Arabidopsis thaliana: one gene and its partners. The protein of the gene in region 2 interacts with the protein of the main gene of each other region in a pairwise test. Each region holds a gene or a part of one and is shown on either strand. Other genes may lie near its edges. The genes, in order: MYB118, GRP2B and DDL.

Region 1 (4,848 bases), on a different chromosome or scaffold from region 2:
GAAAAGCTATTTTGTTGCACTATAGCTAGCAACATCATATCCCATTTGCTAAACTAAAACATGTCGTAGTTGGTCACCTTACATTTAACAGCTAAAGTGACTCCACCAAACCACTCAACACACATTTGATCACTAGACCTCGGTAAATCTTTCTAAATTTTAATACACAAAACACAAACACCATTCAAAAAGACATTACATCTAAGATTTGCTCTCTCTTATTGTTTTTTAAGAAAGACTGTTTCAACACCTTAAAACCATTATATGCTCACTAAAGGAGAATTGAGCCTATAATCACCTCTTGACCTAAGATGACTCTTATATTACCCATGTGGTATTTTCTTATTCTGACCATTTGAAAAAGTATTCTCCTTTTCTACACCAGAGGCCTCGCCCTTGTAGAACATCCTTCACATACGGGCGGACTGTGCAACACCGATGCAACAATACAAAAGCCTAATTAACAATAAAGAAGGGGATAAACGTGAAAAAGTTCTCTCCTTTGAAAAAAAAATACGGTGGAAAAGATCTCTGATGGCCACTGACATGATGAATTTTGGTAACGAGGTTACAAATTCCAACTAGTTAAAAACTGTTATTAAAAGAGTTGAACCAATGTAATTTGGTAGCGAGTTTGTTTTTGGTATAAAACTGCACGGGTTCAAATCATATCATCGTTATTGTTATGGTATTTACTATTACCTATAAGGCTTACAAAATTGATTTTTCTATCTAATACTGTTATTTGGTTTCTAAGGTGTACTTCCATGCTTGAATTTTTAAAGTAGAGTAATTTCAAATTTATCTACATGTCTTGAGTTTCTTGTATTGAAAAAATTGACTTTTATTTTTGGAAACCTATGGAATTCTTTAGATATTCTTAAATTTTTATTAAAAAATATTTTCCACCTGAAAGAATTATTGTTTTGCAATATCTTTCAACCGTTTTTCCAAATACTTCAAGATAATTGAGTCATTACTCTTTTAACATTCAATATCATCACATTAAATATTCTTTTATTTTTGGAAATGTCAAATTTATTAATCAACAAAAAAATATATTTTCAAGTGGAAGGGAATAAAAATCAAAACCATAGCGGCATACCCTAAAGATACCCTCAAACTTGTGAAGATATTTTGTAACTCAATTTTTTTTTTCTACTACACAAATCACATATATTATTTAGATAAAGGGTTTTGTGGAACATAAAATTCATCTATGGAATTTTTATTTCTAATAGACGATATGTTGAATATCATTTTAAATTGTTAAAGTTGGAAATATATGATATTTTTTTCTTCTCAACATACATTAATTAATTAAAATTTTCAAAAAACCAAACCAAATTTATAGAGAAATGATATTTATTTTTAAATACTTTAATTTTTTTTAAAGTAACTACCTATTGCTAAAAAGTGAAGATATAAATTAAACTAAATGTGTAGTATCATTAATTTATATATATACTTTTCATCATCTTAGATTTCTTGGTCAATGTTTTAGAGTTGGACCTTGTGGGACCAACTAATTTGTGGACCCTATGCTGATACGAACCATTAGATTGACATTGCAACACCAAAAAGATAATCACACGGCTAGTAGAAATTATAATGCTTACATGTTTTACACTTGTCACAAATATGCCCGAGAATTTTCCGCAACAATACAAACTACCTTATAACGACTTCATGATTATTACATGACAAATTTTAGTGACCAATTTACCCTTGGACTATCATTTTGTTTTTAAAGTAACTTTTTAACTCACCCAAGTTATCAAAGGTTAGATCTTTGCCAACTCATCGCTCTTCACAGTTGTTCTTGTTTATAAAGTCTTAATATTTTACCCTTACCTTTACTTCTCCCTGTTTTTCCTCTTCCTTAAATTCATCTTCAAGCTTGAATTTCATTTCACTAATCAATTACTTTCCTCGTTATCCTTTTTTGCAGTCAAGTTAAATTGCTCTCTTTCAAGACTTGTGTTCTTTAAACCAAAAAAAAAAAAAAAGTATCTGTGTTCATCACCAACTCATTCTTCTTTCAGATCTAGGGTTTCATGCTTCACTCAATTTTTTTTTGTTTAGGTAGTTCCATCTTCTAAACGTTGTATTTTTTTTTTTTTGCCATCATAATCATATGGAGTTCGAGTCAGTGTTCAAAATGCATTATCCGTATCTCGCAGCCGTTATCTACGATGATAGCTCCACTTTAAAAGATTTTCATCCATCTCTTACCGATGATTTTTCTTGTGTACACAATGTGCATCACAAACCATCGATGGTAAACTCTAATCCTGATCTTTTTTTCACAAGAATCTCACATTAAAGATCTCAATCCTATCACTTTACTCAAAATCTTAATATTGTTCCCTATCACTTTGATATGCAGCCTCACACATATGAAATACCATCAAAAGAAACCATTAGGGGCATCACTCCTTCTCCATGCACTGAAGCTTTCGAGGCATGTTTTCATGGCACATCCAACGACCATGTTTTTTTTGGCATGGCCTATACCACCCCACCAACTATTGAACCCAACGTTTCACATGTCTCACATGACAATACTATGTGGGAAAACGATCAAAACCAAGGATTCATCTTTGGAACCGAGTCAACCCTCAATCAAGCCATGGCGGACTCTAATCAATTCAATATGCCAAAACCACTCTTGAGCGCAAACGAAGACACCATCATGAATCGACGTCAAAATAACCAGGTAATGATCAAGACCGAGCAGATCAAGAAGAAGAACAAGAGATTTCAGATGAGGAGGATATGTAAACCCACAAAAAAAGCTAGCATCATCAAAGGACAATGGACTCCTGAAGAAGACAAGTAAATTCAACATCTAATTTTTTGGAATTCTCATAAATAATTTTCTTAATCTAGTATGATATTGTTTTTAATATTAATATTTTCTAATGATTCTACCTATATTTAGGTTATTGGTGCAGCTAGTGGACCTTCACGGAACTAAAAAATGGTCTCAGATTGCTAAGATGCTTCAAGGACGAGTTGGAAAACAGTGCAGAGAAAGGTGGCATAACCATCTCCGTCCCGATATCAAGGTCTCTTATTTTATTTTATTTTCATTTTCTTATTTTCATAGGAGAAACAAAAACAAAATATCATCTTCGATACTTTCAAATTCATTACATGATACATTGAGAATCTTCTAAGAGAATATTAACAAACTTTTTTCACACTTGTCAACATGTATACGGTTTTATTTCATGCATGAATACTTTAAACTTTTGTTTGTATATACATATATGTCTATGACAATTCTTTAAGGCATTTTGTCTTCTTGTTGCGGACAAAACTTCACAATTGGTAAGACATTTAAACTAAAGTCATTGTCACTTGGATTCTCTCATATAATTCAACAAACATAAAAGAGAAAAAAACATATAAAAAATAAAAATATTTGTTTAATATTGTATGTATTATTTACATATAAAGCATATTTTATGTGGTATGTTACAGAAAGATGGATGGACTGAAGAAGAGGATATAATACTGATAAAAGCCCATAAGGAGATTGGGAACAGATGGGCTGAGATAGCTCGAAAACTCCCGGGACGCACTGAAAATACGATCAAGAACCATTGGAACGCGACTAAACGTCGACAACACTCGAGGAGGACTAAAGGAAAAGATGAAATTTCCCTTTCACTTGGTAGCAACACTCTTCAGAACTACATTAGGTCTGTTACCTACAATGATGATCCTTTCATGACCGCAAATGCAAACGCAAACATTGGTCCAAGAAACATGAGAGGTAAAGGTAAGAATGTAATGGTTGCGGTCTCGGAGTATGATGAGGGTGAATGTAAGTATATTGTGGATGGTGTGAATAACTTGGGTTTAGAAGATGGAAGGATCAAGATGCCGTCATTGGCGGCTATGTCGGCCTCCGGATCAGCGTCTACTTCTGGTTCTGCGTCTGGTTCTGGAAGTGGTGTGACCATGGAGATTGATGAGCCGATGACTGATAGCTGGATGGTGATGCATGGATGTGATGAAGTTATGATGAACGAGATTGCTTTGCTGGAGATGATTGCTCATGGTCGTCTTTAGACCGTGCAATATAAACAAGTCGAACTTGATTATATCTACCTATATAATTATGCTATTTATGAAATTATGTTTGTGCTTTTAATTGAAGAATTGGACATGTAATATATATTGTGGTTTAATTGAAGGTTTCTTTTGGACTAAACAAAAATTGAAGGTTTTCTTGCTTTATCAGATTTTTTTTTTGTTATTCTCTAATTTCATTTTAATTAAGAATCTATATATATTGTTAAATTTTCTGTTATACTATATGAATGGTAATTGCGTTTGCGGTTAGGAGAAGACGACCATTAGGTCCACAACAAGTACATTTAGTCACTAAAGAATAATTTTATATCGACTATGCTAAAGAAAAAAAGTACTAGTTGTTTACAAAATATCTGGTTAGTATGATGTAATATGGGATAATATGTGTATGGTCCGTTGTATTGTAATTTTCTGGAATTTGTTACCTTACCGTCATAATGACTATATGGTCCGTCGTATTGTAATACCAGAAATTTTAGGCAAAACACAAACAAAAAAAAACGTAATGAGAGTTTTGTATACATTATATTTTGGTTTTCCATTTGTTTTGTATATCACCATTCGAAAAGTCATACATAACTAAAAGAAAAATACATAAAACTTTTGGGATCTATATTCATTAATGATATTTTGACTAACTACATAGAAAATTGAGATCTTAACCAAATACAATAAACCATTACTTCTTATTCTTTTTGTGCAATTCCTCCAACAAAAAAAGAAAAAAAACTTAACAATTTT
Region 2 (3,492 bases):
GGCATTCACGATCAATGCCTTCATAGTTGTGTGGGTGTTCATTGTTGGATTCGGGTTCGGTGGTTGGGCTAGTATGATCAATTTTGTACACCAGATTGACACCTTTGGCCTCTTCACCAAATGCTACCAATGCCCACCACCGGTTATGGTCTCACCTCCTCCAATCAGCCATCCTCACTTCAATCACACTCACGGCCTTTGAATTTTAAGCATCAAATCTTTAGTACCGGCCCAAAAGTGTCCCTAGCTGCCACGAAAGTTGGCGTTTTTCCACGGATCAGAAAAAGACGAGATTTGGGTTTTTCTTAGATCTACCAAGCCCGTAGTGTGTTTGGGTGTTTGTTTAGCATCTAAAGTTGGTTGGTCTGTTTTTATTGTATTTCATGTTTGGGAATTAAAGAAAAAAAAAAAAAACTTTAGGAGTTAATGCCATATCTTTCATCAAGAACAATCATTTCCAAATTTCAAGGATTAGTTCGGAAGTTATGGTTAAAAGATTGTATGAAGGCTTGAAGTAGAGGAAGAAGATGAGCAAAAGTTATGATAAACATGCAATTAAAACCAATCCAGTTTCTTTCTCAAATCACAAGGAACCATAACCATAACAACCACAAGTCCTAATTAATAAATTCCGAAAACAACATTGAAGAGAGTCGAATAACAAAAGATAGATAATAATTTGATAGAAGTCACGGAGAAGAGGGATCGATGACTGATTTACCCCTTCTTCACAGTCTGGTTTGCTTCAACGAGCACCACCGCTAGTGCAATCCCTTGCAAAGTGCCCAGACTCTCCACAGCTGTAGCAGCTTAAGCCACCACCACCTCCTCCTCCGCCGCCGCCAGACCCGTACCTTCCACCACCCCCGCCTCCGCTGTATCCTCCACCACCTTGAGAGCATTCTCTCGCCATGTGACCTGGTTCACCGCACTTAAAGCAAGAATTATCACCACCACCTCCTCCACGGCCACCGCTTCCTCTTCCACCATAACCTCCTCCGTAGCTTCCTCCACCACGTCCCCCTCCTCTTCCACCACCGCCGCCAAAACCACCGCGTCCACCAGATGAACCACCACCACCGCTGTTACCCTGAACGGGAGCACCGTCGGGTCCAGACACTTCAATAGCCTTGGGACGGCCGGAGTTGTCAACCTCAACGTCGAACTCAACAGATTCCTCAGCTGCGAGGCTACGAAATCCTTCAGATCTGATGGAAGACTGGTGAACGAAGAGATCGTCACCACCGTCGCTAGGTGTGATGAAACCAAACCCCTTCTGTGTATCAAACCACTTCACCGTTCCCTTGCGTCTGTCTCCACCACTCATGTTCACGTCTCCTCCTCCGCTCATTCTGATCAAAATCTCTCCGACGAACTAAAAGTAAATCACCGATCAGATCTCTCTCTCTCTCCTTTGGCGTGAAGCAGACGCTGTTTATATATCTGCGAGATATGTGTGTAAAGGCATAGGGTATCCCGCCACGTCACTATTTACTTTTTATTCCAATATTCTCTACTCTTTTTTCTTTCATATTCCCATTTTTAATACGTATTTTCCATCTTATAAATTGGCTATTTCTATTTTTCTGCATAATTCCTTGACTTTTTCCAGTACAATTAGAAATTTTACTTAATGAAATACGAATTTGTTTGAATAGTAAAACTAAAAAGGAAATAATATAATTACAAAAATGGGCCAGGCTAATGTTCGAGATTGTATTATTTTTTCCTTTTCGGGAAACTAAAGGGAGCGATGGGCCCGCTTTGATCTGGACGGTTGGGGATGCTTTGCAGGAGGCTTCTCAGCCGTTAGATTCAAATCTAAGAGTTGAAAGTTATTCAAAGCTTATCTTCTTCTTCTCCCGAAAAGATCTAACAGAGTGAAGGGTACAATGGGAAAAAGACAAGTTTATATATTTAATAATTTAATATTATTCTGGTTCAGTCAACATTAAAGTTGACGGACGTAAGCAGATATTTTGACTAGTCGTCCCATATTTTTGGGAACGCAAACTGCGTGCCGTTTCTTTTTTTATTTTTATTTTATTACGCTCTCGTACAAATAAATAGTGGATTTTCACAGAGTAGCCCCAAAGTTTTTTTGTATGTATTTATTTTGGTCAAAATCTCAAAAGAGTGGTCAAAAGCGTAACGTCCATAGTCCAAATGACATGACGATGGGACCTGTCAATGCACATTTACACTTTCCAAACAAAAAAAATACTACATGTATCCAATTTTGAAATCTTTAGTTTTACCCAAAATAATTCAATGAAAAGATGAGTTTGGTTACTAATAGTAGTTTGGCCACTAAGTTTATCTGTATCAATTATGATTCTATCTACCTATATTTAAAGAAGTGATTGAGCTTTAAATGTGCCTCTTTTAAATTTATGAAGGTATGAATGATTTGAATCCCAAGAGTTTGTAAAGATGTTTTGACTCTGAATAATGACAAAACCGCAAAGTGTGATACAGTTTCGATAGTAACGAAAATTTTGTATATATTTATTTAATTTATTATTATTTGAACCTCAACGCAACTTATCGAACAACACATTTTTATTCGGAGTTTTAGTTATGGGATCTTCGAGTTTTTATCTAACATGAAGGTCATGGAATCAACGTTTGTTTCATGTAAGTGTGTGATAATGTTTAACTTTTTACTTGCGAATGGAAAACCATATTGATATTATGACATTGTATATTAAAGATGTCTAACTCTTTTAGAATCATCTAAATGACTCACATGTAAAAATTTAATTGGTAGGTTCTAAAGGCATCTCCATCAGTGAGATACCTTATTGGTTTTTAAAAAAAAATATATTAGTATTTTAATAAATATTAGTTCTATAATTAAATTTTAATAATAAAATAATATTTGACCAATAGATGATATACAAGTGTTCTTATGGGTTTTTCAGAGTTTTTCACTTGAGAGACTAATTTTACTCTCTCTCTTACTTTTTGATTATATTTTATTTTTATATTAAACAGTTTTTCAATAAAAAATCATTGATGGAGATGGTTTAATACCTTAATTATCATCTCGGAATAATAGTAGATCGCAAACCAAAAACTAAAAAAGAAAATATAGTAGAAAAATATCTAATTTTTAACATTTGCTTTCACACTAATGATACTAGCTAACTCGGCTACTAATTTTTATTTTGAAAAACAACCATTGAAATATATAGACTGCAAGCGTGGGTTTTTCCCATTTTTCTAATTTCCAACTAAGAAATATGGACAAACTAAAACAAAAAAATTAACAGATTTTACAGTCATTGTCGAAGAAAAAGATGGTATCTCTACACATATACTTTACACTTTTACAGTCGTTGCTAAATCTTTTATGTTGGTAAATTAGCTATATAACTTCAATAATTAGAACCTTTTTTTTTGTCATGAGAGTTCTCTTCGAATATTGATTAGTTTTAGAAAATAATCAATAATTCGTAAACACGTATACTATTAAAATACATTTGATAT
Region 3 (6,173 bases), on a different chromosome or scaffold from region 2:
TAGATTTTTATTTGCCTAATTCTCTCAAATGTGACCTCTATATAGTGGGGGAGGCAGAGGTCAGGAATGTTGTAGGTTTGGCACGATTTTGGCCCTTTGTTCTTATTATTGTTTAAGTATTTACTTGTTATAATATTATTTTGTTGGTTTTAATATTCTAAATGGCAGTTGAACAGTTTGATTTCTTTATGTACGTGCAAGAACAAATAAAGATATACAAGAGAAGTGGATCACCTTCTTGTTGTAGTGGAGATTATAAATGTACACATCAACTTGAGATTTGCTAAATTGTAATCTTTTTAGTTAGCACACAATATATAACATAACAACATAAAGTACTTTTGATGGGTGAACCTAAATGTATTTTGGTAGTTTTCCAATAAAAGTGTTAATTTAGATAAAAACATTTGCCTAATGATACATTTGCCTGATGATAATCACAAATTCACAGAAACAGTAGATAAGGATCAAATTTTATATTGTCCATTAATGAAAATAATTTCGATAGAAGCTGAAACAAGATATATTAATTTCATTTTAGCTTATATTCTCCGTTATCTAGCGTTTGATGTAACATTTATAAGTATATATCTGTATTAAGTACAAGAATTTGTTGAGGAAGGAAAAAGTGTTCTTACAAACAAAAATATAAATTTGTCAATGATGGAGACATGTAATTCGTGGGGAACTGCTACTAAGTGTTTAACGATAATATATATGGTTTATAACGTGACAAGGTGATGATAGTCAATTCATCTATTTGAAAATCCTTCAACAAAAAAACAGAAAACGTGATGAAGGCAACATTAGGCTAACACCACAAATAGCTAATTGATATATAAATATAGTCGGTCCACGTTCTCGAACCTTTATAGTCCGGCAGGATAATTATTTTACTATTGTCTAGCTTACAAAACATGTACGACATATTGCACTTTTAGATTGTGAGATACGAATTGTGTGAATTTGTAAAGTTAGTACCGAATCTTTGATGGTTGTTATAATAATTTGCCTCTTTTTCATCAGCAATCTATGACGTAAGAGGCTACGTATGTTCGCTTAAAATTTGACCTAATTTGGACTTTGTCATAGTGAAACCGTATGACAATAACGAAGAAGGTGACGGTGACCGATTCTGATATATGTGACAGTCTAGCCAGTATTTTGCAAAACATAAGATACTAATGAAGTGCATGATGCATGACCGATATTTGAATTAGATATACAAGCCGGCTGGTAGATCATTAGACAACATTTGTTTGTGTGTCTATGATGCGAAAAAAATAAATATTCTCAATCTTTGACAAAAAATATAATAATGACAAAGTACATATCGTTTTGTTCATACGTAAACAAGAATTAGTTTTTAATCGTCTATAATATTGGCGTACACTAGTATATACATGAAACTAAAGATACATCAAATAAACAAGGAGACATGATTTGGGATTCGATGAGCCATCACCCGACAAACCAAAGCATCACCCGAGAAACTCATACTGACCCGTCTCTAAAGCTCGAGTCTATGAATGCTGTCTTCCACATAAGCTTCAAGGCCAACAGTTGCGACTACAAATCGGTAGTAAGGAGAACTACAGATGGGATTTCAGGACATATGTTCCTCGAAGTTGAAAATTTCTCTCCACAAGTTCCTTCATGAGAGGATCAAAGTTGGTGGTAAACCTGGTGCACTCTGTTACAATCAGAACAAGATCACTGTCACTTCTGATGGTTTATGTCGTTTAGCTATCCACCTCAACTATATCTATGATCTTGTATTTGTCTTCTATCCTATCAAAGTTGGTGGTAAAGCTGGTGCACTCGATTTGTTACAGGCTCACCGATTTGTTTGATGATCAATTATAAAATCTTTGTTGCAAACTAGGACGAAGAAACAAAAATCTCGAAGGAAGTACAAGGGTACGACGTTACAAGCGGCTTCTGCCCTAATTATACATATCCTTTCTACCAAACAAGATATGACACGTGTCAACTAATGGAAGTTTTACCATACCGTCTACAATTTGTTTGATATTGAACCCCTCAGTTTCCATTTATTTGCAAAAGAGGCCAAATAAATGATTCTTCTCGTTTTGGCTCTGATTCTTTTTATCTCTGCGATTATTATTATTCACTCTCTCCTCTTCTCTCCGCCGAAGTAGTCACAGTTCCGGCCACCAGGTAAAATTTTTCTTTCTCGTTATGCAGCGATTTTTTCTCTTAACGATTCTTGCAACCCTAGACTATGCCCGGAACTTCTGAATTTAGTATTTGAAATCTGTAGCTTACGTTTTTTGGTTTAGGGCTTTTGCTCCATTTCTAGTTTCTATGCATTTGGGAATTAGGGTTTACTGTGTTATCTGGAGCTCACATGCCTTTTCCTTCTGACCCTGGTTTCAATTTGTGATCTTTCCAAAGGCAAAGAAGAGAGAAAACGACCCTGACTCCAATAATGGCTCCTAGTTCTAGGTCTCCTTCACCACGTACGAAGAGACTGAGAAGAGCTCGAGGAGAGAAGGAAATTGGGAGAAGTAGAGAGAGAGAAGATGATGGTAGAGAAAGGGAGAAGAGAAACAGTAGGGAAAGGGATAGAGATATAGGAAGAGATAGGGATAGGGAGAGAAAAGGAGAAGGAGAAAGAGATAGGGAAGTTGGGGATAAGAGAAGACGATCAGGGAGAGAGGATACTGAAAAAAGGAGAAGGACAAGAACAGATGATGAGAGATACTCTAGAGGAAGACATGAGAGGTCTACTTCACCGTCAGATAGGAGTCACAGGAGTAGTAGGCGTTCACCTGAAAGAGCTATTGCCTCAAGGCATGATGAGGTATTTCTGCTTCTTTCTTTAGCTTGGATATGTTCTTAATCTCAGAAGTGTTTTTTTTTTTGTTTTGGGTTTTACTTGTGCATATTCGTATTCTGCTTGAAAAGATAAATGTGATTGAAATTGTTTAGCTCTGATGTATGCTAGAAAAGGTTAGCCTCTGCTGCTTGTTTCGTCACATAATAAATAATTGGAATCCTGTAATCTAGCTTATCCATCTCGTGAGTCTATAACTAGAACCTGCAGCCAGCCATTTTTTGCTTACTCTGTTGCTAAAGGACTTAAGAAAGATAGTCTCTTTGTTTCCCTTCAGCATGTCCAGTAACATCACTTCTCATGTTTCTCTCTTTTTAGTAAAAGCTCATTATATAGATTATGGTTGCTTTCTGCAAATTATCATTTTCTGCGAGCCACAGATTTTTGTTACTTCTTCAGTCATTTTTATCGCCTTTTGTCTTTTCAGGGGTCTAATGCAAGAGGGGGCAGCGAGGAGCCGTGAGTTTTCTTCTTATTAGATTAGCCGTTACAATTTTTCAGTCTTTCTTTTAACCATGTTATGGGTTTTCGTTAACAGAAATGTCGAGGAAGATTCAGTCGCGAGAATGAGAGCAGTTGAAGAGGCTCTGGCAGCGAAGAAAAAGGTATTATATCAAGCCCTATTGATTTTCAATTTCCAATGTCATTTTGAGCTCGCTTAGCTCATCCATGCATAAATGCTAACGCTTCAAATCTAATTTTGATATATCTTGTAGGAAGAACCATCATTTGAGCTATCAGGGAAACTTGCTGAAGAAACTAACAGATACAGAGGTGAAACTTCTGATCCGTCCATTTCATTTAAGAATATCACCTGTTACCATTACCTTGTGCTAGAAACTTTTGCCATAGTGTTTTCATTGCATGTTTGAACTGCGAAACATCTGCCTTTGTTGTCAGGTCATATTTACTTAATTTTGTATGCGTACGTGTCTGTCACTGGGTAAAAGCTTTCTTTGGTCAATATCTAATGAGACTAGAAGCTTCAATATATAAGCATCTGCTATCAGCAGATATCTTTTGACTGCCAATCCGCTTTTGCTCCTAGGAATGGAGACGGTGGTTTCTCGCATTAAATTTCACCATAGGCATGCTTAGCTTCCTTGACTGAGTGAATCCTTTGCAGGTATCACACTCCTCTTCAATGAGCCCCCAGAGGCTAGAAAACCCAGCGAACGATGGAGACTGTATGTTTTTAAGGATGGTGAACCACTGAATGGTGAGTCTTTGACGTCTTCCACATCTCTATCCATCTGTCTAAGTAGTGGTTCATTTGTCTTCTATGTATTTCACTTAACTATCTTACTGTGGTGAACGTCAATTTTTTGTCCACAAAATATGCAGTAAAGCATGTAGTGGCAATGAAAGAGATACTCAAGAAATTTTGATGCACTCTAGCCATGTAAACTTGAAAACTGTGGTCATTGATGGTTTAGTGTCCAGATAACAGCGTGATTACCGATAGTAGCCAAACTATAGCTTGATACTTCTTAGAACTTGTCAATTTTCTTAGAATGAATCTTATTATGAATGTTAATGACTCTTAGAGGAAAAATAGCTCCTTTGATCTGATATGTTTGTGACTGTGGCTTCCCGTGTCATTCTTACTTTGAACCCCTGAACATTGTATATAAGATTTTACATTTTGTTTCCCATTTCTGTTTGCTTAATAATTCTGAATGCCCTGAATCAGTTTTCTTGATGTATGTTTCTGTGCATGTGAAATGTGTTGGACTAACAGAGCCACTCTGCCTTCACCGCCAAAGCTGCTACCTCTTTGGACGTGAAAGAAGGATTGCCGACATTCCTACGGATCACCCATCTTGCAGCAAGCAGCATGCTGTCATTCAGTACCGGTAGGGTTCTGACATGTATTTCTCCTTTTAAGTAGTAATATCTATGACAATAGATTTAATGAGAATAAGGTTTTTAGTTTAATATTTATGTCACTGTGAATGTGCTTTTCTCAGGGAAATGGAAAAGGAGAAACCAGATGGTATGATGGGGAAGCAAGTGAAGTAAAACCTATCTGCTCTTTCATTTTGCTTAAAATTTGTACCTCTTCTGGCTTTAAGCTAAATTTTAATTTCCCTTAATGTCACTTTCCAGGCCTTACATAATGGATCTTGGTAGTACCAACAAAACTTATATCAATGTAAGTGCTCAATTACATTCCTTCTTATGTGCTTCTTTATCATGGTTAATTCAAACGTTTGTGATTAGAACTTCTTTTACTTTTTCAGGAAAGTCCCATTGAGCCACAAAGATATTATGAGCTTTTTGAGAAAGACACCATAAAGTTTGGCAACAGCAGGTATTCTAATGAAGACACATTCTAGTTCTGGTTTCCCATTATGAATCATACCCCGTGCCTATTCTCTGTGATTAATCTTTGCTTGCTGTGCAGTTAACATCTACTTTCTTCTGTTCTTGACATGTTTTGTTCTTTTGGTTGCAGCCGAGAGTACGTACTGTTGCACGAGAATTCTGCCGAGTGAATGAAATCAGAGTCAAGCAGAAACGAGTAAATCACAAGATTAGATAGTTGCGTTTCTCAGGGTTTTTAGAGATGTTTGAGCTGCTTCATGTATGCTTTCTACCGTGCTGGTGATAATCTCAGACATCATTTAGAAATCTTTTGCTTGCTTGTTATATAATAAATGATGATGAACGATTGGTAAGAGAAAAAGGTTAACTTTTGGTATAACTGTATAAGATCAATCTCTACTTTAAAATTGTCGCTCCCTGAGGGTTTCGACCTAACTTAACGTAGAAACATGGAGACGACTGAGATTTCAACTAGAGTTACCAAAACGGACATCACTTTCTTAGTAAGATAAAGCTAACTCTGCGATTGAAAACTACTTATTTGTCAAGCCTTTAGTGAGGGATTCAAGGATCAAGTCACGGATCTCCTCCCTGCTTGCTCAGTCAAGAGTGGTTCTGCCGTCAGCATCCTTAACCGTGTAGTCAGCGTTTGAGAAGCTCTTCAATTTTAGGCTTGTCTCCCTCCGAGACTGCTAGCATTAAAAGGATGTCGACATGGTGCATCTTATCTTAGGTACCTTCCACCGCAAGTATCCCCATGTAGTTAAAATACTGCAAATAACACAGAAACGACAATAATAAATCTAACATTTCCTCTGTTTTCTTCATTCACAAACTCAGACACAACCACGTACGGAAGCTTTTATAAGCGCCCTTGTAACAAAACAAAGATTGACATATTTGACTCTAGAAGCTTGAAGTGAACACGAACCTGTTCGACGTCGTCTCTGTCAAAATCATCACGTGACTGGCTGCCATAGATTCC

Evidence for each region.
Region 1: the proteins of GRP2B (region 2) and MYB118 interact in a two-hybrid assay, tested with the Arabidopsis thaliana proteins (one large-scale study listed by BioGRID).
Region 3: the proteins of GRP2B (region 2) and DDL interact in a two-hybrid assay, tested with the Arabidopsis thaliana proteins (one large-scale study listed by BioGRID).

The regions. Positions count from the first base shown.
Region 1 is NC_003074.8:10,288,002-10,292,849, reverse strand, and holds MYB118 (myb domain protein 118), read left to right. Parts: upstream 1-1,915; 5' UTR 1,916-2,137; coding exon 2,138-2,281; intron 2,282-2,389; coding exon 2,390-2,838; intron 2,839-2,944; coding exon 2,945-3,071; intron 3,072-3,489; coding exon 3,490-4,083; 3' UTR 4,084-4,247; downstream 4,248-4,848. UniProt on the Arabidopsis thaliana protein: Transcription activator that recognizes the motif 5'-TAACGG-3' in the promoter of endosperm-induced genes.
Region 2 is NC_003071.7:9,036,238-9,039,729, forward strand, and holds GRP2B (glycine-rich protein 2B), read right to left. Parts: upstream 1,546-3,492; 5' UTR 1,352-1,545; coding exon 746-1,351; 3' UTR 529-745; downstream 1-528. Other genes in the region: LAX2 (uncharacterized protein), read left to right, coding at 1-202. UniProt on the Arabidopsis thaliana protein: Chaperone that binds to and unwinds RNA and both single-stranded DNA and double-stranded DNA (ssDNA and dsDNA DNA).
Region 3 is NC_003074.8:7,173,880-7,180,052, reverse strand, and holds DDL (SMAD/FHA domain-containing protein), read left to right. Parts: upstream 1-2,032; 5' UTR 2,033-2,181; intron 2,182-2,418; 5' UTR 2,419-2,452; coding exon 2,453-2,827; intron 2,828-3,287; coding exon 3,288-3,319; intron 3,320-3,398; coding exon 3,399-3,465; intron 3,466-3,576; coding exon 3,577-3,634; intron 3,635-3,986; coding exon 3,987-4,079; intron 4,080-4,601; coding exon 4,602-4,716; intron 4,717-4,830; coding exon 4,831-4,878; intron 4,879-4,969; coding exon 4,970-5,015; intron 5,016-5,103; coding exon 5,104-5,174; intron 5,175-5,318; coding exon 5,319-5,358; 3' UTR 5,359-5,617; downstream 5,618-6,173. Other genes in the region: AT3G20555 (uncharacterized protein), read left to right, coding at 1,439-1,579, 1,662-1,853. UniProt on the Arabidopsis thaliana protein: Involved in the microRNA (miRNA) and short interfering RNA (siRNA) biogenesis. May facilitate DCL1 to access or recognize primary miRNAs. Binds RNA non-specifically.